4 linked regions of the Drosophila melanogaster genome follow. The protein of the gene in region 3 interacts with the protein of the main gene of each other region in a pairwise test. Each region holds a gene or a part of one and is shown on either strand. Other genes may lie near its edges.

Evidence for each region.
Region 1: the proteins of ERR (region 3) and Dlish interact in a two-hybrid assay, tested with the Drosophila melanogaster proteins (one large-scale study listed by BioGRID).
Region 2: the proteins of ERR (region 3) and Rpt5 interact in a two-hybrid assay, tested with the Drosophila melanogaster proteins (one large-scale study listed by BioGRID).
Region 4: the proteins of ERR (region 3) and Elba3 interact in a two-hybrid assay, tested with the Drosophila melanogaster proteins (one large-scale study listed by BioGRID).

Annotation. Positions count from the first base shown.
Region 1 is NT_033778.4:17,720,584-17,726,632, reverse strand, and holds Dlish (dachs ligand with SH3s), read right to left. Parts: upstream 3,325-6,049; 5' UTR 3,194-3,324; coding exon 3,148-3,193; intron 2,862-3,147; coding exon 2,738-2,861; intron 2,678-2,737; coding exon 1,780-2,677; 3' UTR 1,577-1,779; downstream 1-1,576. Other genes in the region: Snx16 (sorting nexin 16), read left to right, coding at 1-934, 995-1,131, 1,191-1,251; CG10934 (uncharacterized protein), read right to left, coding at 3,631-4,215. UniProt on the Drosophila melanogaster protein: Required for the apical cell cortex localization, total cellular level and full activity of dachs.
Region 2 is NT_033777.3:23,750,684-23,755,123, reverse strand, and holds Rpt5 (regulatory particle triple-A ATPase 5), read right to left. Parts: upstream 2,249-4,440; 5' UTR 2,111-2,248; coding exon 1,901-2,110; intron 1,837-1,900; coding exon 1,416-1,836; intron 1,359-1,415; coding exon 703-1,358; 3' UTR 501-702; downstream 1-500. Other genes in the region: Hrd3 (HMG-coA reductase degradation 3), read left to right, coding at 1-318; RanBP3 (Ran binding protein 3), read left to right, coding at 2,405-2,420, 2,549-3,882.
Region 3 is NT_037436.4:8,180,907-8,187,516, forward strand, and holds ERR (estrogen-related receptor), read right to left. Parts: upstream 4,765-6,610; 5' UTR 4,684-4,764; coding exon 4,661-4,683; intron 4,316-4,660; exon of another isoform or gene 4,137-4,315; coding exon 3,578-4,136; exon of another isoform or gene 3,522-3,577; coding exon 2,613-3,521; 3' UTR 2,455-2,612; downstream 1-2,454. Other genes in the region: Uxs (UDP-xylose synthase), read left to right, coding at 135-777, 845-1,026, 1,314-1,814; Atg18a (Autophagy-related 18a), read left to right, coding at 6,600-6,610.
Region 4 is NT_033779.5:4,684,859-4,690,564, forward strand, and holds Elba3 (early boundary activity 3), read left to right. Parts: upstream 1-2,652; 5' UTR 2,653-2,790; coding exon 2,791-3,930; 3' UTR 3,931-4,098; downstream 4,099-5,706. Other genes in the region: CG11929 (uncharacterized protein), read left to right, coding at 1-2,247; CG3251 (uncharacterized protein), read right to left, coding at 4,202-5,646, 5,700-5,706. UniProt on the Drosophila melanogaster protein: The heterotrimeric Elba complex is required for chromatin domain boundary function during early embryogenesis.

The sequences.
Region 1 (6,049 bases), on a different chromosome or scaffold from region 3:
AACGCTCTTTAAGAAGGCCAGCACAGCAATAACGTCACCGAAGAAATCGTTGCTCAAAACTGGGAACTCCGTCTGCGGATTGGACAAACGGAGTCAGTTCCGGGAGCAGAAGCTACTCGGTCGCAAGTGCCACTCGAGTCCTGACCTACGACAAATCGGAAAATACCAAAACAACAGCCTGTTGCGCAGCAAATCGGAGGGGGATGTTAGTTTAATCCTGGCCAGTAACTCCGGTGCTCCATTGACGGTGGCAAACGCCAAGTCAGAGGTTTGCCTGCAAAGGATTAGCTCTCACAGTTACGAACAATCTCCGAGAACGCCGATAAACAAAAGCGAAATGCTCGGCGGTGCACGTTCCCATCGCGACCTGACGCAGTCGTCCTATGGCAACCAGGCAGGTGGACATTCCGTGGATTTGGAATCCAGGTCTAGAACTCCTCGGCGGATGAGCGAGTGCAGCTTGGGCTACAGCCAATCCAGCTCCCGGCACACTGGCTCCAACTCTATGTTCGCCAGCCAGATGACTCTCTCCTCGGGATCGGTGGTGCCGCCCGTGGACCCCAACGCTGTGCTAAGGGTGCCCATTATTGGTTACGAGGTTATGGAGGAACGTGCGCGTTTCACTGCCTACAAGCTGCGAGTCGAGAATCCGGAGACCAACGACTATTGGCTTGTTATGCGACGCTACACCGACTTCGTGCGGCTCAATAGCAAGCTAAAGCAGGCTTTTCCCAACCTTACGCTCATGCTGCCCCGGAAGAAGCTTTTCGGCGATAACTTCAATGCCGTCTTTCTCGACAATCGGGTGCAAGGTCTGCAGATCTTCGTCAACTCAGTGATGGCCAAGGAGGAGCTGCGAAAGTGCAAACTGGTTCGGGAGTTCTTCTGCCTGGACGAGCCGCCTTCGTACTCTGAATCCATGGAGGAGTGTCGTGTAGGATGATTTCTTTTTCATGTATTTATCAAATCTATATAAGATTTCATTTACTTCTAGGCAATTTTCGAAGCTCAGGAGGAGACAATTGAGCATCTGAAGCTGCAGATTCGAAATAAAAACGATCTCATTCTCAGTTTGCAGCAGAAACTGCGCGAGGAGATGAACGAGAAGGAGCAGCTGAGAGAAGCTATGAAGTAGGATAACAATTTCTTTTACAAATGCAAAAATCTCATTAGCCAATCTCTCTCTACAGAAATATGGAGCTTAATTGCTCGCACTGCTCCTCAGCTAGCGACAGTTTGGGAATAAAGTAGACCTTCGCCAATCGGAGGTGATAACCAAAATCCAGTTGGACGTGCGTGTGCGTACAACATTATGCTGAGCATAACTCTACGCAACTGCGCCGCTTGGATGCAAATCCAATACAATAATACAAACCAAGTGCATATCGAGGGGTTGGCCCCTACAGTGCTTTAGTATTCATATCTAGACCTAGATGCTAGCAAAGTGCTGCCCACGCTGGTACTATATGGAATACGATAGTAGATATTTTTGATATTCGTTTACGAGGCACTTACAGTTAAGAATGAAATCACTAGACTAAGTGTATACGATATGTTATGCAAACTCACATACAAAATAAATCTAAGGCACAATTTATTACTCAATGAAAATGGCATTTATGAGTTGAAAATTAATTTAGTGTTCAAGATAAAAATATCCAAGCCACAAAGAAACGCTTTTCGAAATGCAATTCGACTGTGTTTGGAAGACTTACGAATATTACGCTTTAGTGTTAGTCGAAGTGATAATTAAAACGATTATGGTATTGAATCTATTTCTTAAAGGCTGGTCATCGCGGGTGGTCGGGCATAGGCTTTCGGGATGAATCCATATTTGCGGGTTTTCGGAGCATAAGCCCAAAGCCAGCCATCAACAGTCTGATTGGTTAAGTCTGCGTAAATCCAATCTCCTCTCCGCACAGAAAGGTACAGATCGTCTGGAGCTTGCGCTTTGTAATCATACAGCATCACCAGCTCCGTGCCATGGTAGCGTAGATCATCTGTTCCCAAGCCCAATTGAGGCTGCTGCTGTTGCTGGCTCTGCTGACCTTGTTGACCCTGCTGCAAAATGGTCTCCATGGCATTTAAAGTGGCTTTCTGTTGCTGCAAAACTCGTACACTGTCTGCAGGATAAATAAAGCTGGCTGGCACAAATCCTTCCTGGCCATCACTGCGCATTATCCAAAACCAATCGGGATCCTCGCGATTTAGCACGGTAACAAATTCACCCCGTTCCACAGACAAATCATTCTCGTCCCTGGCTATAAAGGTGTACAAGACGATACAGCGCCCGGAGGGTTCCTTCACGAAAGGAGTACACTCTGGCTCCACCAGCAGGGTGTTCTCTATGCTGTTGGCGGAGCCAGGATTCAAGGTTTCATCGCAAAGAACATCCAGCTTGTTATCCGTGCCCAAAAGTGGTATATTCTCTTCGATCGGCTGCTCTGGACACTGTTCCCTTGGCAGTTTCTTCTTAACAGCCAAATCCGCCAGTTGCGTGTTGCAGGGAGCACAATAAGAGAAGGGTATGAAACCCTCCTGCCTAGAGTCCTGACCAATCACGTAGACCCAATCGTTCTCTCTGTACAAGATATTAACCAGCTGTCCACGCTTCACCTCTAGTTCATCATCCACGCAAGGAGTAAAGTCGTGCAGCACAACCATCTTGGAATCAGGACTAAAATAGAATTAATATTGTACAGACTATTTAAACTGATAATGGATGGGATCGACTTACCTTAGACCGTGTTCCTTTTCAATGCCCACTCTTACAAGTGTTTCAATGCTGGAGGAACCAGTTATGCGGCCCATGCCCAATACACCCACAGCTGGTAAGTCCCTCTCAATGCTGGCATTTGTAGCTGAAAAGGGAGTATTTTGAAAATGCTTATTTAGGTACAATATATGTCGTATTTAATTAAATTTAAAATAAAATGTATATCTTATGCATTCAATCATAATATAGTTTCAAGAAAAAAAACTTGAATACAAATATTTAATTCAAAAAGAATTCTTGTACATTGATATACAAAATAAATGCACCAATAAACAGATTTAAACAATTTCAATTTTTTTAAGTTCCTACAACAAGTTCGTGATTGAAGTCTTTTGTTTCCGTGCTGCTTCTTCCGCTTTCTATGAACACACCTTTCTTCTTGTCGCGCCTCATGCGCACGGGGCAAAGAAATGCCATCTCTTCCCCCCACTCGGAATTAAACCCCCTTCAACCGAAAAACAACAAAATTTCGGCTAATTGCTTAATTTCTTTATTGTTTAGATCCGACACAACGCTCTTCTTCTTCTCAATATTCTCTGGTGTTAGAGGTGGAATTCATACGATTGGCTGATCTTGATGATGTTGTCCGTTAATCGATTGTCGCGAGGCGCCAAAATTTGAAAATAAGTTGGTTTTGTGTGTACGTGTTGGCTCTGCTCTTTCAAGCATGCAAATTTCTAGTAAAGCGTAAACTGCTCTTGAGCAGCACCTTCGATTTGGGTGCAATGCACCCGGGCCGCCGTTTACCTTGATAATTTATTACGCGTGTTTTGTGGGCTAATTCAATGATCGAAAGCATAGAAAAACTGTGTTTAGATTGGGCGATTTGATTGATCCAGTTTCTGCGACAGCTTCTATTTTTTGCGACCACGCACGGTGCTCTTCTTGGGTGTTGATCGCTGGTTGCTCTTTCGGGTAGGACGCCGCGGACCATCGCCTAAGTTCTCATCTGTCTCATAGTATCTGTACGTCCGGCGATTTGGTAGGGCGTAGTCCAGGGCATGAGTGACCATTATCGCCTTGTAGGTGCACGCCACGGACATGATAAGCTGCCCCAAATAGTAGACATCTTGGCGCAAAAACATAAAGACTTTTGGATAGGCTTCAAAAAGGTACATGCCGGTACGAGTATTAACTGCATTGTCCCGCAGTTTATTCATATGGCTGAGCAACTGGAGCCACACAAGCACCACGACCTGGGTGCACATATAGAAGACCAACAGTTCCAGCAGCAAAAGCCAAAGCTTCTGCAGCGGTGCGCAATTCATTACCCTCAGATGATGGAGAAAAAGCACGGCGGTCAGGACGAACAGCGCCGACGGAAGATCGGGAATATGCTCCATGGGCAGCACATTGCATCCGGCGATGTATAGACACACGCATCCCACGCTGCCAGCCACCAGCTCCGTGACTTCGTACATTCCCTGTACAACCACCATTTTAGTCGTATACAAAATGTGAACGAATGATAGATTTGAGTTAGCTCCAGGCGCTATGAATTGTGTTTGGAAGGTGTTACTTTACTAGATAGTAATGGCTGTATATCCAAAGTCTACTGAGCTCTATTTAAAACTTTATATTGTATTATAGTGATGTAACTAAAAGTCCAAATATATGTGAATTTTGTAATGTAATAGAACATAATAGGTTAGAGATATCTGGATTTTTTAAGCAATACTTTTAGTAGTATAAACATAATATATACATTTAATTCAGAGTGCATTTAAAACCCTCTGCCCCACTGAGACCTCGTCATTCTTAGCGAGCGTCACTTGCGCTATTGGACAGCATTGAAAAAAGAGGGGCCAATGCACTATTTTGGTGCCAAGGATAAAACTTTCGCATGCAATTTTCGATTATAATTCAGCGAGAGAATTTCGATGGAAAGGGCAAGGAAACAAAGAGTCTCAGCAAGAGAGGATGGGTCCAAAGAGAGAAAGTGTCCAAACTGACCTACACTTCGTCGTATCCCCATGTGCACATACCCCAAACTAAATTGCGCATTAAGCATCTCGAACATTATCCCACCAGCAGCAGTGGCGTGGCAGCATCAGCAGCAGGTGCCACACCCCCAAAAGACCCCCTTCAACTTGACTTTTGACTACTACGCAGTTGATTCCACATCCGCATCACATCATCCATCCCACAGCCCACATCGCACATCCCAGAAACCCATCCCCATGCCCTATCCCAAGTTTTATTAGAGAGAGCTGTCTGCGTTGGGCTTTAATCGATAGAGAGGATTCTGCGCAGTCCTCCACTCCTCGGATGCCATTCACAAAAAGGGGCGGCCAGTGGGCGGGGCAGGAGGTGGTTGGGTGGGCGAATCGAGTGGGTGCTCCTCGCCCAGCACACTCATCATGGCTGTTGTGTCTGCGGGTAATTGTTGCTCGGACCTCTGATGGCCAAAAAATGAGACTAGACAGCGGGCCAAATTAAGAGGAATGAGGCGGAAAATGGGGTAGAATGCCAGCTCCGGGGCGGAAAAAGTGGCTCACTGGCTTTGTGGGTCAGCTATTTTCGGTTGTCACGCATATTTTAATAAAATATATGCCCGGAAGTAAATTCAAATTAACATGCAACAGTCGCCCTTGCATAAATTGTAGCATAAATTTTTGTTGCAAATGACCTTGAATGTTTCGCACCCCTGAATGATGCAACAAAAGTGGTGAAATGCAAACTCCACGACCTTGTGGATGATTTATTTCATAAACGTACATATGTGCATACATATGTCGATTATTATCCTCGCATTTAGCACATCCGTTGAATTTCACCAAAGGACTCTTTATCATTCAAAAAATTAACCCTCTGGAATTTCCACTTATTAAAATAATCACTTTTATTTTCCACATAAATTTAACGCAAATTAAAAAGGGAAGCAAAGCATTTGGAGTCTCATGATTTAGTTAATACGTTTATTTAATAACTAATACTGTATAGTTTTTCTTAAGATTGCACTTTCAATCGGCCAAGGAATTTGCTATTTCATCACACCATTTCCATTTCAAAAATTGTGTAATGTAGTTGGCGAGAAAAGTGAAAAGGGGGGTTGGAAAAATGCAGGGGCGGTGGATAATAGAGAAATCAACCATATTTTGGCTCGAAAATACTAAATGCACGTATTTCGATTTCGCTAAAAATGTTCAGCCATTGGCAAATATCCAAAATGTATACAGATTTTAAAGAGGGATTATTATGTGCATACAGAGGTGCATATGTATATATGTACATACGTATATATATATTAGCTCAAGCACTTGGCCTGGTCAA
Region 2 (4,440 bases), on a different chromosome or scaffold from region 3:
ATCATCATGTACATGAGGCGTCCATTTCAGCAGCCGGATCAGCCGGCACAGCAGCCAGCTGCAGATGACATTGCTGCTGCGCCAGTTAACTTGGCGCCGGTTGGAGCGGAAGCAGCACCTGTAGCCGCAGTGGTCGAAGGTGTGGGCGTCACACCACCTGCCGCCGCAGTTTCATCTCACGATGCTGTGGCCGCGTCCTCCTCTACGGAAACCTCATCAACCACTGCCACGTCCCTTGTCGATGCAGCGTCACAAGGGGGAAGTGGCACGACATCTGCGGCGCCGGATGGCGCTAACACACTCGATCCCACTGGTTAGTCTTAGTAACTTGGTAAATCATCCCTCTAGGTTAATTAGTGTGCGTGTAAATATTTATCATCTAATTTCGCCCGATGTAATATTTTTTATTAATTCTAAAACCGACCTTTTTAGATATTTAAAAAATATCGTACTCAGAATGTAAATGTTGTACTGATAAACCAATGAATCGCTCGACATTTGATATATATTTTTGTTTATTTTAAAAAGGTTGGGTATTGATTTCAGTACGTCTCCCATTCTAGTTACTTTTAAGAGCCGTTGCGATGTTATTTTAAAGGCGATCTTCAAGGGGCAACTCAGATCGAAACTGAAAAATTTTACATTTCCATGGTTTATTTTAATGGGAGCTGACAATGTGAAGTTAAACTGCAAATTTTTAGTCTAAGCGTAGTAGTTAAGATTAGCCTTCTTCTTCGCCTGCACTTCCATGATGGCGTCCATGAAGTCTTCGTGCGTAACCGAATTGGCGGAGCGACGCAGTGCGATCATACCAGCTTCCACACAGACGGCTTTGCACTGGGCGCCGTTGAAGTCATCCGTGGATCGGGACAATTCCTCGAAATTCACATCATTGCTAACGTTCATTTTACGCGAGTGAATCTGCATAATACGGGCACGGGCTTCCTCGTTGGGATGTGGGAACTCGATCTTACGATCCAGACGACCAGAGCGCAGCAGAGCAGGATCCAGAATGTCTACGCGATTGGTGGCCGCAATCACCTTAATATCTGCAGTGGAACTGAAGCCATCGAGCTGATTAAGAAGCTCCAACATAGTTCGCTGGACCTCACGGTCACCGGCCTTCTCCGAATCGAAACGCTTGGTGCCAATGGCGTCCAACTCGTCAATGAAGATAATGGCAGGCGCCTTCTCCTTGGCCAAGGCGAAGGCATCGCGCACCAGCTTGGCACCATCACCGATGAACATTTGCACCAACTGGGGACCTGCCAGCTTGAGGAAGGTGGACTTTGTCTGAGCGGCGCAGGCACGGGCCAGCAATGTTTTGCCAGTTCCAGGGGGGCCGTACAAAAGGACACCTGTAAATGGCAAGGATTAATATGGTTGTGTGACATTTGTTCGAGTGAGATACCCACCTTTGGGTGGGTGAATGCCAAGGTTTTTGAACTTCTCCTTGTGCGTCATGGGCAGCACCACTGCCTCGATGAGCTCCTGTATCTGCTTGTCCAAACCTCCAATGTCGGAGTACTGCTCTGTAGGTCGCTCGTCCACTTCCATGGCTTTTACGCGGGCATCATACTCTGCCGGCAGGGTTTCCAGGATCAAATAGGAGTCTTTGTTGACTCCGACCAGATCACCTGGCTTCAGTTTCTCGGCATCAACCAGGCCGATGACGGGCAGGAAATACGCCTGTCGAGTGGATGTTTTGATGACGGCGCACTTGCCCTTTCGCTGGTTGTCCAGAACGGTGACGGAGCCGTCGTCCTCCTCCTCCTGTGGATCCACATCCAGCAGCTCTATTACATTGGACACCAGGTAGGGCAGTGTCTTGTTGACCTAATGGGGAAGTACTTAACAAATGAGGCTATTTGGCAGGGTGGCGTTTCATTGTCATCCCTACCTTGATCTTTTCGGTGTTGTCCTTGATCTTCTCATTTTGCGCCTGAATCTCGTGCGTTATGCGTATCACTTCGCTCTTCATGATCTTGATCTCGTTGTCCATCAGGCGAGTCCTGCTCACAATTTCATCGGTGGACATACGCATCACCTCCTCGCCCAGGGACTCCTCCCCGTCCTCCCAGATTGACTTATCCTCCAGAGTCTGAGCCATGTCTAATACGATTGTTGATTAGCCGTTGCTGAATGTAATTCTTTGTTAAAATGCTATTATTGCCGATCTTTTTGGGCAAACACTCTGTCGATGACTTGTAAATTTCTTGTTTTTCAGCGGCAAGTAAGCAACACTGAAAAAGTCAGTGTTGACAACAGAGCGCCATCGCCGGCGCTTATCGATAGTGACAGCGATAACACAGCGATAACAATACGGCAGGCTTTACACAGAACGCTCTATTCTGTAAAAGATTTGGCAATTTATATTTTAAAATTGCAAGTAGACTAGTTTGCAATGTCTGAAAATAATGGTAAGCGTAGCAAAACAAGCTGTAATGCTTGCTATAACTTAAAGTTGCCAAATATCGCGAATCTTGTGCCCTTGAAGAGTTCGCAACAAACTGACAAACGAGTCTTGTTTTTTCCCCCTTGTTTCCAGAAGCGTCAGTCGAAACTAACTGTTTCCGAGGTGGCTTCACCTTGAAGGCTTCTCGCCTGGGCGGTGCTGTCCTGCGCCCAGCAGTCTTGGCAAACAGCAGCGGCTCCAACAATAGTTCCACATCCCCAAGTGCAGGTGAAGACAGCGCCCTGCTGAATAATCCGTTTCTGCGCGAGTCCAAGGACGACGACGATGACGAGGAGGTGGTGGCCACCGGATCTGCGGCAGCCGAGTCCACTGGCGACAAGGAGGACGACGATGTCGACGAGCGGCCGGATCCGCTGACCAAGCTGCGTAGCAATGGCATTGAGCGCTCCAGCATGTTTGCAGCAGCCAAGAACAACATGCCAAATGTTCAGTCCAGCGGGTTCGTCTTCGGCCAGAATGTGCATGAACGTGTGGTGGCCCCCAATGCTGAACAGGTCACCGCTGAGCCGGATGCAGATACGGCAGCCAGCTCGGTATCAGCCCAGGAGGCTGCCTCCTCCTCCACCGCTGCTACGTCGTCCTCGGCGCCATTGCTCTTCTCAAGCGTCATTCAGAACGCTGCCCAGACCACAGAGACCAGCGAGGCCGCTGCCTCCTCATCCATTTGCAGCAGCAGCAGCAACAACAAGGAGTCCGCCGAGGCCAAGAGCCTGACGGATGTGGCCCGGGAGTATGAGGAGAGCCGCGCTCAGAAACGCAAATACGAGGAGGTCGAGACCTTCACCGGCGAGGAGGACGAGATCAACATTATCGACGTGAGCTGCAAGCTATTCGCCTTTCTTAACAGCAACTGGGAGGAGCGTGGTCGCGGCAGTCTGCGCTTAAACGACGCCAAGGACTTAAGGGGCGACTCGCGCGTGGTGTTCCGCACTTCTGGCAATCTGCGCCTGCTTCTCAACACCAAAGTCTGGGCCGCCATGGTGGCGGAGCGAGCCAGCCAAAAGTCCCTACGACTAACGGCCATCGACAACTCTGGCGTTGTCAAGATCTTCCTGGCCATGGGCCGACCGGCGGACATTGCCCAGCTACACAAGGCGCTCAGCGAACGGATTGCCAAGCGCAAGGTCTCACATCCCGAGGAGTGTTCCGTAGAGGAAGCGAAAAACGGCGTCGCCTCTGAGGCAGCGGCTAGCTTGCAACCGGAGTCGACGACTCACGACGACGAGGATGAGGATGCTGCTCCCGGACCGTCTGGTGCCATTTCAGCAGAGGCAGACAGCTACGGCCCGAGTCCCAAGAAGGTGATCGTCCAGCCCGATAGCAGCGCCGATGTCCCTGTGCCGCCCGTTGAGGAGGGCGACGAGGATGCTGAGGCCGAGGCCAAGGAGTCAACCGATCAGAATTAACCGCCGCTCGCTCTTGTTCTTTTTATACGATTCATACATGGAGAAATAAAACACTCACAACAAACACTAATTAATAAAGCGCGCCGTGAATTATTATAAATTAATTATAATAATTTATTAATAATTATTATTATTAAAAATAAAATAAATGAAGTGCTGATTTGTAAACCCGTGAGCAGCGTCGACAAAAGACATTTATCCATTACGCTTTGTGTTTATAATTTTTTGTTAAAAATGAAAACCGAAATTAAGATATCGATATCGATCGTACACGCTCTAATTAAAAGTTTTAATTTAATCACTATACAAACCCTATGTACTACTTTTCGCTTAGGAAATAATTTTTACAAGTTCAGCGCTTGCACTAGTCCTGGTCATAGCTCCACTGACTGGCATCTGGTGTGGATTCCAGCGGATCATCACTCAGTATTCAGTTATGTATTGGTAGAAAAAAATAGCGTTACGACGAAAAGTACAATCTAAGTGGAAGTAGCAGCAGGAGTGGATATCGAATATCAACCCATCCTATGCCCTCAGCATTGGCTTGGAGCGATTTGC
Region 3 (6,610 bases):
CTGGCCACTCTGGCACCTCCTGATAACGCAATTGTATTGTTTATATAGTTTCTAAAGCCGAACGAGAATGCAATGTGGCGATATCAGTTGCTGATAAGCACTGGAACCCTGCAGTACACAACCCATAACCGACGATGACTGCCACCAAAAAGCGTCTGAAGATCGTTGCAGCCATCTCGCTGCTCCTCCTGCTCCTGGTCTACCTTTACCGAATGGCCAGCTTCTGCCCAAGCGGAAAGGTCGCCGTTTCCGTTCCCGGCGTCGAGGAGGTTCAGGCCAAATGGCCGCCCACGGAAAGTCCGCTACAAAGGAGCCTTCAGATGGCGTACGAGGAGCAGAGCTCTCTTATTCGAGAACAAAAGGCCGAACTCCAGCGCACAAGGGAGAATTTGGCCAGATTGGAGGAACAAGTTCGTAGCCTCCAGACCAGCACACCGCGCAAGTATCCGAAGGTTAAATACCTGAACTATAAGAATCGCAAACGCATACTAATTACCGGAGGAGCTGGCTTCGTGGGCTCCCACTTGGTCGACGATCTGATGGTCCAGGGGCACGAGGTCATCGTGGTGGACAATTTCTTTACGGGACGCAAGCGAAATGTCGAGCACTGGCTGGGGCACGAGAACTTCGAGCTCATCCACCACGACATAGTGAATCCGCTTTTCATCGAGATCGATGAGATCTACCACTTGGCATCGCCAGCCTCGCCACCGCATTACATGTACAATCCGGTGAAGACCATCAAGACCAACACCATGGGCACGATCAATGTACTGGGTAAATATTTATAATATCAATCAAAGAAAATAAGGATTACACCTAACGAGTATATCTTTTTTGAAAGGTCTGGCCAAGCGCGTGATGGCCAAGGTTTTGATAGCTAGCACTTCGGAAGTGTACGGCGATCCCACAGTGCATCCGCAGCCAGAAACATACTGGGGACATGTAAACCCTATTGGACCGAGAGCCTGTTATGACGAGGGAAAGCGTGTCTCCGAGACGCTGAGCTATGCGTATGCCAAACAGGTAATACCTTTAGCAATATATATACTTTTTTGGATAACCACATTCCTAAGCCAGATCGAAAAAAAAACATTAAACTAGCTGAGATCCAGAAATGTGGCAGATTTTTCCTGTTTCGATCGCTAGTTGAGCATTAAATGATCTCAATTGGAATGCTATTAATTGATGTTCCGCTCGGTTGGCTGACGCGAGATAAGATTTCCAAGCGCGAGCACTGACCACATTTTTTGATCTTGGCCAGCAATCTGGGAGTCAAATTAATTGCTCTTTAAATGTATCTGTATCGACAGGAGAAAGTGCAAGTCCGAGTGGCGCGCATCTTTAACACTTATGGACCGAGAATGCATATGAACGATGGACGAGTGGTGTCAAACTTTATACTTCAGGCGCTGAGGAATGAAACCATTACGGTGTATGGAAATGGCAAACAAACGCGCTCCTTTCAGTATGTTTCGGATCTGGTGGACGGAATGATAGCCCTAATGGCATCCAACTACACACAGCCGGTGAATTTAGGCAATCCTGTGGAGCAGACAATCGGCGAATTTGCCGAGATCATCAAGAAACTGGTCGGCGGGCCCAGTGTGATAAAGCAATCGAAGGCCATGGAAGATGATCCGCAGCGCAGAAAACCGGACATAACTCGAGCCCGCCAGTTGCTCCATTGGGAGCCAAAGGTTCCCCTAGAGACTGGACTTCAGCGGACCATCTCCTACTTCCGCAACGAATTGGCGCGTAGCGATCGCTTTCAGGAAAGCTCCAACAAGTACTTTGATACACATACACCGTAGAATTAATTGGGCTTAGCTCTAATTGGTGATGATGGAACGTCTCTAGTCTGCAAATGTAAATATGACCATCGTTAGCACTAATTGTAAGCCCTCAAGGACCACAGAATACCTTTGTCATGGTTAATTTTTTGAAGTTTTGCGATATATCAGCCTATGTATGGATTAGGAAATAGTGATGTATAAATGCGATCAAATGCACTGAATTCTAGAAAACTAATTTGAATTTGTTTAGGAAAAGAAAATCCCCAAAGAATACAGAACTTAGGGAGTATGGAAACAACAGTTACAAACGGTTTATTATTCACGGACGACATTGCTATTCTTTTGACCGCATGTGTACCACATAGACACAGAATCACTGGGTTACATGACACTTAGAAACAGTATAATCCATTGTATTGTAGAACCACTATCGTATTTTAAAAGTGCCCACAAATTCATACGTTACATCAGAAGGTTGCGGCATATACATATATCAGAACCAGTGAGAATTGAACAAATTATTGAAGATCTGTGACTCACAACTTTAGACACATAACACCTATATGCGCCTTTAACCAGTGTAAGCACACCCCGATTCTAGAAGATAAGTAGGGTTTTCCAGTTGCTGTAGTTGGTAGTCCATTAAAAGAGATTTTTTCTGCGAACTAATCTTACCCGACAAGTATTTTACTATTTATATACATGGCTTATCCTACGCTTAATCTACTCTAGTATACATCCATATATACCTAAGACTATATTTGCACCTTTGCTTATCAGCTAGATCAACTAGTTTGGGCGCCCGCATAATCCTTTTCACCTGGCCAGCGGCTCGAGCATCTCGAGGAACAGTTTCTTCATGGTAATGACTTCATCGCGTGCAATTCCACGCCAAAATCTTCGCAGGATATCATCCGCCTGCCGCAGCGAAGGCAGCAAAAGCAGCAATTGTTGCTGATGCGACACGGCCGACGAATGACGCAGCAAGTAGACCACATCGTTTAGAGAATTAAGAATCGTATCACGAAATGCGCGCAGGGAACTCTGATCATCCAGCAGAATGTCGCAGTTGGCCAGCAGGAGCGCCTTTAGCAAGTAGTACTCCTCCCTTCGTGGCGATATTCTTTCCATGCGCTGTGCGATCTGGACGCAGTGGTAGTAGAACTCCGTGTAACCGCACTCCTTGGCCAAATGTTCATCCATCCAGACATCCGTGGCGAAGCATAACTTGCCATTGAACGGTAGGGACCGGAAGGTCAGCTGGAGCGTCAGGATCTCTGCCCACGACACCTGGAGAAGCTTCATCTGGTCGTTAAGTGGCAGATCTATAAAGCCAGGTATCTGCTTGGCCCAGCCAATGACGCTGACCAATTCCTTGTCGTAAATATCACTAAGGACGCTTAGTATCTCATTGGGATCATTGTTGTTGTTGTTTTGGAAAATGCAAGTCCCATTGGGCGTAACAACGCTGGACTCCAGTTTTATGCTGCCCGAGGAGGATGAGGCCTCATCATTAGTTATGCTAGTCGTGTGGACTTGCGGCGGCGGCGTTTGGACGCTCAAGGCATCCGGCTCATATGAATTGAGCACCTCCAGTATCTTGACATCGCACAGCGAGGTGGTGTTGGATTGGTATAGCAGCTGCATAGTCTGGTAAGAGTTTGATACAGGATTCCTTCGGTACTTCTGCCGTCCTCCACGAACTCGATCCAAGCGCACACCCTCCTGAAAAGTTAAAGCGATTAGAGTTTAGGAACTTTAACTCGGGACTATGAAATTACCTTGAGCATGCCCATTAGTAGACATTTCTGGAAGCGACACGCTTGGCAGGCCTTGCGTCTCCGCTTGTTAATCTCACACTCGTTGTTCGCCGGACACGTGTACTCGATGTTGCCTTGGATGGTGCGTTTAAAGAACGCTTTGCAAGCCTCACAACTCGCCACACCATAGTGGAATCCACTGGCCACATCGCCACAAACCAAACACAATCGGCGGAGCTCGTCCCTGACGGATCCCGATCCAGCTCCGGCACTCGCATTGGTCGCATTTCCACCACTCGTACCACCACCTCCTCCTCCGCCATTGCCGCCACTTGTACCACTTCCTTTCAGACTATCGCCATCATTGCTTAAGGATACATTGTGCAAATCGCAGGATAGAGAGGTCGTCGAGCTGCAGAGCTGCCTTTCCGGCGAAACCGAGGGCGAGGATTTCAGGCCGTTTGTGCCACTCTGCGTGGCCGTTGACTTGGAGCTGGGACTAAAGCAGGACGCCGATGGAGTGTCCACCTCCTGTTTGATGTGCAAGATGCTGACGCCGTCGGACATGTTCGTGCCTTGGCTGGGTGAGAAAAAAAGAGTTGCGGATAAAATAAGAAATATGTTTCAACAAGTTAAAGCCTTTGATTTGAACTTCAAGAAAATGATTGATTAGATAGAGGACTCGAGATACAAGGTTTAGGATAAACGATATGGTACGATATGAGGATCAACCCAAAATGCGGAGAGAAATGAACAAGTAAAGAGTTGAAATGTGGGAAAAACGTTCAATTTCGCCAAATCACCGCGATAAAGATCGCTTTAGTTTAATGTCAAATAGAACGCGCTGCACAGTGGTAAACATAGAACCCAAAAACGGGTACTTTACAATTCCAACGCTGTTATCTGGACTTATGAATGAGTAGTGCCATTGGAGCCCACAGTGCTGGGCTAGTCGCATGAAACCTGGTCACGGAATTCTTAATGAATGCAAAACGTAATTGTAATTAAGCCGCGCAAAAACCAAAACAAACGGCGGTCCGTCCAGTGCAATTCGAATGCGATCCTCGGATTCACAAGTGAACGTATGCAAGCTCTATAGCTTACCCTTCTCCCGCGTAGAACTTCATCGGTGGTCGTGGAAAAGTACGGGACAGAAATGAACTGAAATCCGAACCGCGCGCCGTGAGTGCGATAACAGCACTGTGCGTGGAGTACCTTCCAGCTGAAGGTACTACAAATCACGACGCACAGTGCTGACATTGATTAGGCAAAAGCGAAGTAAAATAAAATCGAAAAGGGACAGTGGTGGAAGCGAAGCTTTAATACCCTAACAATTGGCAACCAATTGGAATGCCAGCACTCTGACCTCATTATCAGCTAGGCACTGAACACGAGTCTATATTTAGACTAGTCATATACAATATACATAATCTGTCTGCCAGGAAATGGTCATATATCCCTACTATCGTAAAGCTCCTACAATTAGTGTGTTGCTGCACCCAGTCAACTCTGTGTCAGGGTATAAAACGCGCGCTAGCAAAGACAATGGGGGGCAGTAGTGGTGTAGTAAGTAGACGGCGGACGACATCGGCCAGGTTGCAGATGAAAGATAAGCAGCACTAAGCACTCTGCTCTTATCAGCCCAAGGGAAGCCGAAGCCAGAAGATTGTGATTGCGGCCCAAGGTGGGCCTGTCCGCCTCTGTTTACATACTTACATAAAATCGTTCTGAGGATCTTTTGTGTAATCAGCTCCACTGTAACAACGTCAATACATATCGGCCTCCTCGACCGTTAGCATGTAGTACTTGTTTTGGTCCGAGTTGAGCACCTTCTTGTTATTGCTTATGTATTCGTTCCTCAGCATTTTTCGATGCTCGAGTCATAATTGTTTATTCACTGGTCATTATTACTGGACATCGTGGCTTTTGGCGACCATCGGTTATTCAGTTGCACTTTCTATGAGAATGCAGACAGCATCTGCATCGATTTTGTGCGCCTGGATTGGGATTTGGATTTGGCACTCGGGCAAGGCACGAAACGTCACTCTGCGCGGATACGAGTCACATTGTTTGGGGGCTCTTTATTGTGAGCATGCTGTTCTCGCTGGTTTTCGTGCAGATATTTGCATATTGGAAAGATTGAAATGTAATTTTATTTTCTTTTTTGGTGAACCAGACCTGACCAGGGCTGGCAAACACTGAACACCTATCCAGGGATGCAGACTATGCTGGCTCGTGCTCACGATTCGGTGGTTCGCTTTTCGGAACTAAAACACTGCCGCAATTACTTTACAGACTTATTTCATTTTTTAAATAAAACTTATAGTAATGTATATAATCGTTTGCATAATGTTTTACTCTAAAATAACTAACAATGGCATTTAGTTTTATTAGTTTCGTGGTAGATGCTTATCCTGAATGCAAGTGAATGATTTTCAATATGTATGCAGCTCAGGTGCAGACGCAGCCCTTTCCAGCACTGGCGCATGCAACTCTGCTCTCGATTAGCACTCCCTGGTTCGCTCTGCTCTGTTGCTGTCCCACTTGCCTTTGTGTGGGTGCTGGTGTGTGTGCAAAACAGAGCAAAAACAATTGCGCGACAAGAAATCCAAATATCATTAAACATTACGTGGATTCAGTTTAATAAACGCCTTGCAGCCAACCACTAGTCAACAGCGGTGTCCTGCGTATATTGATAGGGCCGAGGCAGAGGTGTTAGCTATACAAATAGGTACAAATAAACGATTCTCAGTCACGTATGTACATTTCGCAAGCGTTTGGGTGTGTGTGTGTGTTTTGTTTGTTGTTGTTGCTTTTATCAGCAGCCCCAAAAAGTGTACACACACTAGTGCAAAGTTTGTTATTGTATTTATTAACATATATTTACTGCTTTGGCCCACGCTTTGTTTGCGCCATTCGCTATTCCGTAATGCGCCATCGGTAAATCGCGAGATCAACACATTTCCCTGGCCGAGCAGTCCGATATAGCTAACGATTTACGCCCAATCTGTTGCAGGACCCCAGCCCCTCCCACACAGAAACCATGATGAGCCT
Region 4 (5,706 bases), on a different chromosome or scaffold from region 3:
TCGAAGACTGAGCATGAAGAAAAAAGACCTAGAAAATCGAATACTTCATTGCGCAAATGTTTTTTCAAGCGCCCATTAATCGTAGTCAAAGGCGGCGCTCTTATATCTTCCGATTTTACAGCCAATATCCATCAAAGTAGAATGGAGAACGTATCTGTCACTACCAGAAAAGAAGATAAAGAAACACAATATGAAAACCATTTTGGGACACAATCAAATAGTTCAGACGATCAGCCTTCAGATCCTTCAACGTGTTCAAAAATCCTCGATAGAGTTCAGAAACTGGAAGCCATAATGAAGAGACAGGAGCTTTTTCTAAGGGATCTACAGGGCTCTGTGAAATCGTGGAAGGTCCAGGAATGCAAACCCTCTGATTGTAGGATCATATTTCAAGGTAAACCGGAAGCATGTGAATTGCCAAAAAAACTAGAAACATCTGATCAGGCATCACAGATAAACGATATACACGAGGAACGCAAATTGCCAATAAAACCGGAAGGTTTTAACCAGTCATCCCAGAAAAAATATACAGCTCGTTCCGAGGAACAAAAGTTGCCAATACAACCTGAACCTTTTAACCAGTCATCCCAGAAGAAATATACAGCTCGTTCCGAGGAACAAAAGTTGCCAATAAAACCTGAACCTTTTAACCAGTCATCCCAGAAAATATATACAGCTCGTTCCGAGGAGCGAAAATTGCCAAGAAAACCTGAAAATGTTGATCAGGCTACACAAAAAAAAGATACAGCTAATTGCGAGTGCAAAACGCTATCCAAAGAATTTATTCAAATATTTTTGAAGCCTGAAACTGCTCAAGAAAAGCAGAAATCAAATAATTCTCAACGCACCACAGATACCCCAATAAACTCGGAAAACTCAACTGGTCTACAATGCAGTAGAGAATGTAATGGAAGTTCTAGCAAAGACAATCGGAGATGTTGTAAGGCGAATGGATATGAAATGCATCTGAAAGGTGACCAATTCCCAACTGCTAAACAATGCTTAAAAGATACCGAAAATTTTCTAGAACAATTTAATCGGGTTTTTGCTAAAACAAAAAGCGAAGAAACACTTTCCGACAAGTCTAGAAATACTTCAGCTTTCTCTGCAAATCCCACGAAACAAAATGATACTGAACATGGGGTTGAAAACTTACTGGGTGAAATTGTTAAAAAACCCAAATCAAAGGTTTCCTCCACATCTTGCTTGGAGGCAAAGAGTTCCGAACAATCCAATAAAAGTGTAGAGAAGGAATTATACAAATCCTTTATTGAACAGCTTATTAGTCATTTCACAAAATCCAAGTCGTGTGAAAATAATCAGGCGCAGAATGCCCAATCAGAGTCCTACTCATTCGATCGCTTACTGCCGGAATTCGTAAAAATGTTTACGAGATCCAACAGCCTCGAGGAGGACAGACCCAAAAAAGTGAGCATATCAGAGAAGAAAACCATTTTGGGTGCCAATCCGATGACCAGCTTCAATTGTTCGAAAACTCCTCATAATATTAAATCCACTGCACTGAAATCGGAACTTAAGACGTCGGATATGGAATTGGATGCGAACGGACGTAGGGGTTCCTGTCAACTAGAAGGAGAATCTAAACCAAGTGCAATTTTTAGGAACACCCAGCGGATGAATAACCCGCCACGTGGTTGTCAATACTGTGGCGATGGCAGTCTGCCCATTCTGGATTCCTTGATGGATGAAATATTTCGGCTAATTGGGCAGCGGCCCTTCGATGACGTGGTCCTTACCATACTGCGTCAAGAGGATAATGTCTACCACATCAAGGTGCGTGAGATGGCAACCGGCAAGGACCTAGGCTGCATTCTGGGAAGTGGGAGGGCCATCAACCAAGCTATCGGGATAGGATTATTCGAGGACATTCCCACGTTCTGTGAGCTGGACAAAAACAGGCAGTACGATCCCAGGGACTGTCCACTGGACGAACTTTGCCGTCGGCAGTGCGGCGGTGAGATTGCACCAGATGGAAGTGCCGACAAGGAAAGGGTCGTCGAATTTTGCACTCGTGTGCTCGGTCTGCCCGCTGGACAAGCGTCCCGCTTCTTCTCCGTGACCAATGCCCTCAAAATGGGAAATCGAGAACTAACTGGCCGAGGAGCGGTCACTAGTAGCTTGGTTGACAATTTTTCTTCTAAGGATTTGAGCGATGTGGCCAAGACATCCAGTTTATTCCTACGCATTATTTCTGGCCAGTGTAATGACGTTCAAGATGATGAATAGGATTCATCATATGGGTTCGATAGCCATAATGCACTTTAGCTTTCATACCATTTAAATTTCCCTTAAGACTTTGTAACAACATTTTTCTAGAATTTTTTTTTATGAAAATATATTGTCTTATTTTATTAAATTATTTTCCTATGTAGAAATGTCGCAAACTTGCAATTCGCATTTATTGCCACTAAGCAGCTGCACATTGGGAAAATCCGCTCAATCAGCGTCCTTCGCAGGTAATACACAATTAGAACATTAGATCCCAGTATGAGCCGGACCAAGTTTTAATCCCTTCGAACTGACAGATGTTAGACATTAGAAAGCCTAGATAAAAGTATGGAGTTTACGGCAGGTAGAACCATTTAACTAAACCCATTTACATCTATAAAATAGCTTGCAGCGAGGAGGAGTTCATCAGTTTGCCAAGAACTCTTCACCTATCAAGACATTCAAACAAGACGCGTAGAAAAGAACCAAAGCCAAGCCAATTATATCAATTAAAACTTTGTTCAAATCTTTTCCGAACATATTTAAAACACATCCGCCATCATGAGCAACATCAGCAACGACAGTGGATTGGATGACTCCGCGAACAGTGGAGCCGTTGTCAGCGCCAATGGACCATTGGCAGCGACTCGGTTATCCTGGTTCCTGGCCGAAGTCGATGACGGCTTGATGAAGGATGGGAAGCCAAATGGTCGACGCCGTCTCTGCGTTCTCCATTCGATGGAACTCCTAGAGTCAGATGTTTCAGACAAATACATGACCCGATTCGTAGAATTCCGGGTCAATGGAATGGTGCTGGAGGCGAAACTCATACTGGCAGCGGATGAGAGGCGCCTGGTGGATGCAGCATTGCTGTCCATGAGCAAGGAGGAGAGGGAAGATGCCGGCGGCCAGCAACTGTTGGTCCAGTACACCGAGAATGAAAAGGCGGGCGAGCGCCTCATCCAGAAACTTGTTTCTCCAAACAATGTAATGCTGCTGAGCACCAAGCCCGAGCTGAAGGGTAATCCTCTGGTGAGGTTGGCTCCCGGCTGCATTGCCCACATCCTATATGCCTACGAAAGTCGTGATTATATGGAAAAGATACTACTGCACCTGAAAGCGCGAAGCTTTGATCTCGCCTTCGATGATAATTTGGAAGCTGAACCGGAGGCCATGAATGATGACACTTGGATGCTGGTGCAATACAGTCCCGAACCGGAGATGGTGGTATACCAGGTGGTGCAGTACAGACAAACCGTGTGGAGGAAAGAGAATCTCTTTAAGGACGTTATTGCCTACATGCAACTTCCTGGTAGCGACATCGTCCTCCAGGCGGTGGTCATCAGCTATGGCCAGGACAAAGAGGTCCAGGACGCGAAGTATGAGGAGTTGCAACGATTCTCTTTTGATATTGACTTTCCACTGCCCGAAGAACTGGAGAAGCACCCCGATCACATGACGTCCACCGCCCTCTTCTCGCGAACCAGCTTGTATCAGAAGGCGGAGCAGCGGGACACTACTGGAGAGCACAGGGAGTTGCGAAAAAGTCTGGAACAGATGAGCGAAAAGGCGCAGGGCGAGGCCCAAATGATCATAGATGCCTTCGACATGGTGGACAATATCAACAAGAATCTGCAGAGTCGTTTGTCCGGAGAGGTGCGATCGGTAGTGGAGGTCACATCCGGAGACGAACTTCATTAGTTGGCAAACACATCACATTTTCTTTATACATATATAGTCTACTAAGTTTCGTTGAAAGTTTAAAACTTAAATGGTAAATATTATTAGGCTAGAATTAAATACTAATTGTAAACTATATGTTTAGGTAATTTGAATAAATATATAAAGATCTGCAAATGATAAACGTATAAATATTTCTGTTTTTCACGTTTTATTCTGATTTTCGACATGTTAAACATGTTAAATATAAATATTTAAATTGACATATTTGTAAAAACAAGAAAAAAATATATTAAAATGGGGCAGTGCACTGGGGTGCAGGCGGGTGGGGGGCATGATCAAACGCAAGCATGTATGGTGCGTTGTGTACAATTATCAAAACGTGCATCATGACCGACGGCGGACCAACTCGTGGTTGTTGGACGAAAACGAACGATCCTGTCTGATGTATCATCAAAGGATTAGGCATCAACGGCCGGGTGGGTTCCATCCATCTAGAGGGCCCGAAAACAGGTGGCTGCTGTGCTGTTACGTTAACCGGACGAGGATCGGCCACCGGTGGTGGTGGCATCGAGGGAGCCGTACCAGGCATCGGGTCAGGGACGAATCCTTGCTGATCACCTTGTACCGACTGTCTCCCCATTTGGCTATTGTGGAGACGTTGGGGCCGCTTGCGAGCAAAGTCCCAGGCCTTGAATTCATCTGGTGGCAGTGGATGTAGATTATCGGAGGGCACATCAACCAGTTTTCCCTGCTCCTCGATAAACACTTTACAAACGGACTTCTTCTTATCGATCGATTGGATGTAACAAGCGCTGAGCAGATCGCGTCTATTGGTATCCAACTGCACCTGGCACTTAGCTCCCACCTTGAAGTTATAGTCGCCTATGTAAATACCAAATTCATACGCTTCACGACGAGCTTCAATCGCGCTAGTCAGCTCCACGTTACGATACCTACAGGGATCCATTGACTTGGCTACCAAATAGGAGAAGGGAATGTTGTTCTCCTCCAGAAGGATCCGCATGCAGGAAAAGTCGGCAAACTGTCCGCCCATTGCTAGCCTGCGATTATGAAACGGGCACATCTGGGAGTTTTCAAGCAAGCAAATGGTGCTCTCAGGGCGATCCAGCTTGAAGCTTCGTCCGTTGCGGCACAGCAAACGGATGGCGCGGCCGCGCGAGTCGAACTCATATTCAGTGCCCATTTTGAAGGTATCTGGATACAGCATCCATTCCACAGCGAGATCAACATCTGGCAGGCGGAACAGGTGCTTGTAAAGCATCTTGAAGGACACAGACTGGCAAACGGCGGCCATATCGACGTCCTGCATAGTCAGCACGGTTTCAAAATGCCCCATGCTGTTCATAAAGATACGTAGGATCTCCTTGTAGTCCTTGTTGTAGGTGACCATCCGGCCCATATCGAAGGGTTCGTAGATGATGACATTGCGGCGGTACAGGTGGCACATGGCACCCAGTTCCAGTATGGTGCCCGCCGTCTTGGTCTTGCCCAAATGCCACAAGTACTCGTCGAAGTCTCCACTCACAAATCGCCGGAAGGTCTTCCATTTCGTGAACATATAGCGAACGCACTCCATCCTCACTTCGTAATGAAGCATCTGGGTGTCGTACACCTGCTCAGCGACCACTCGAAACAGACTCGAGGCATCCCCTAGCATATGCTTCCGAAAGAGTTGACGTCGCTCCAGGAACCGATCTATTGGATCTCTTGCCTCTGTGGGAAGACTTGGTTATGGTAATTGTGTAAGATGCAAATCCCTGACCTACTTCTAAC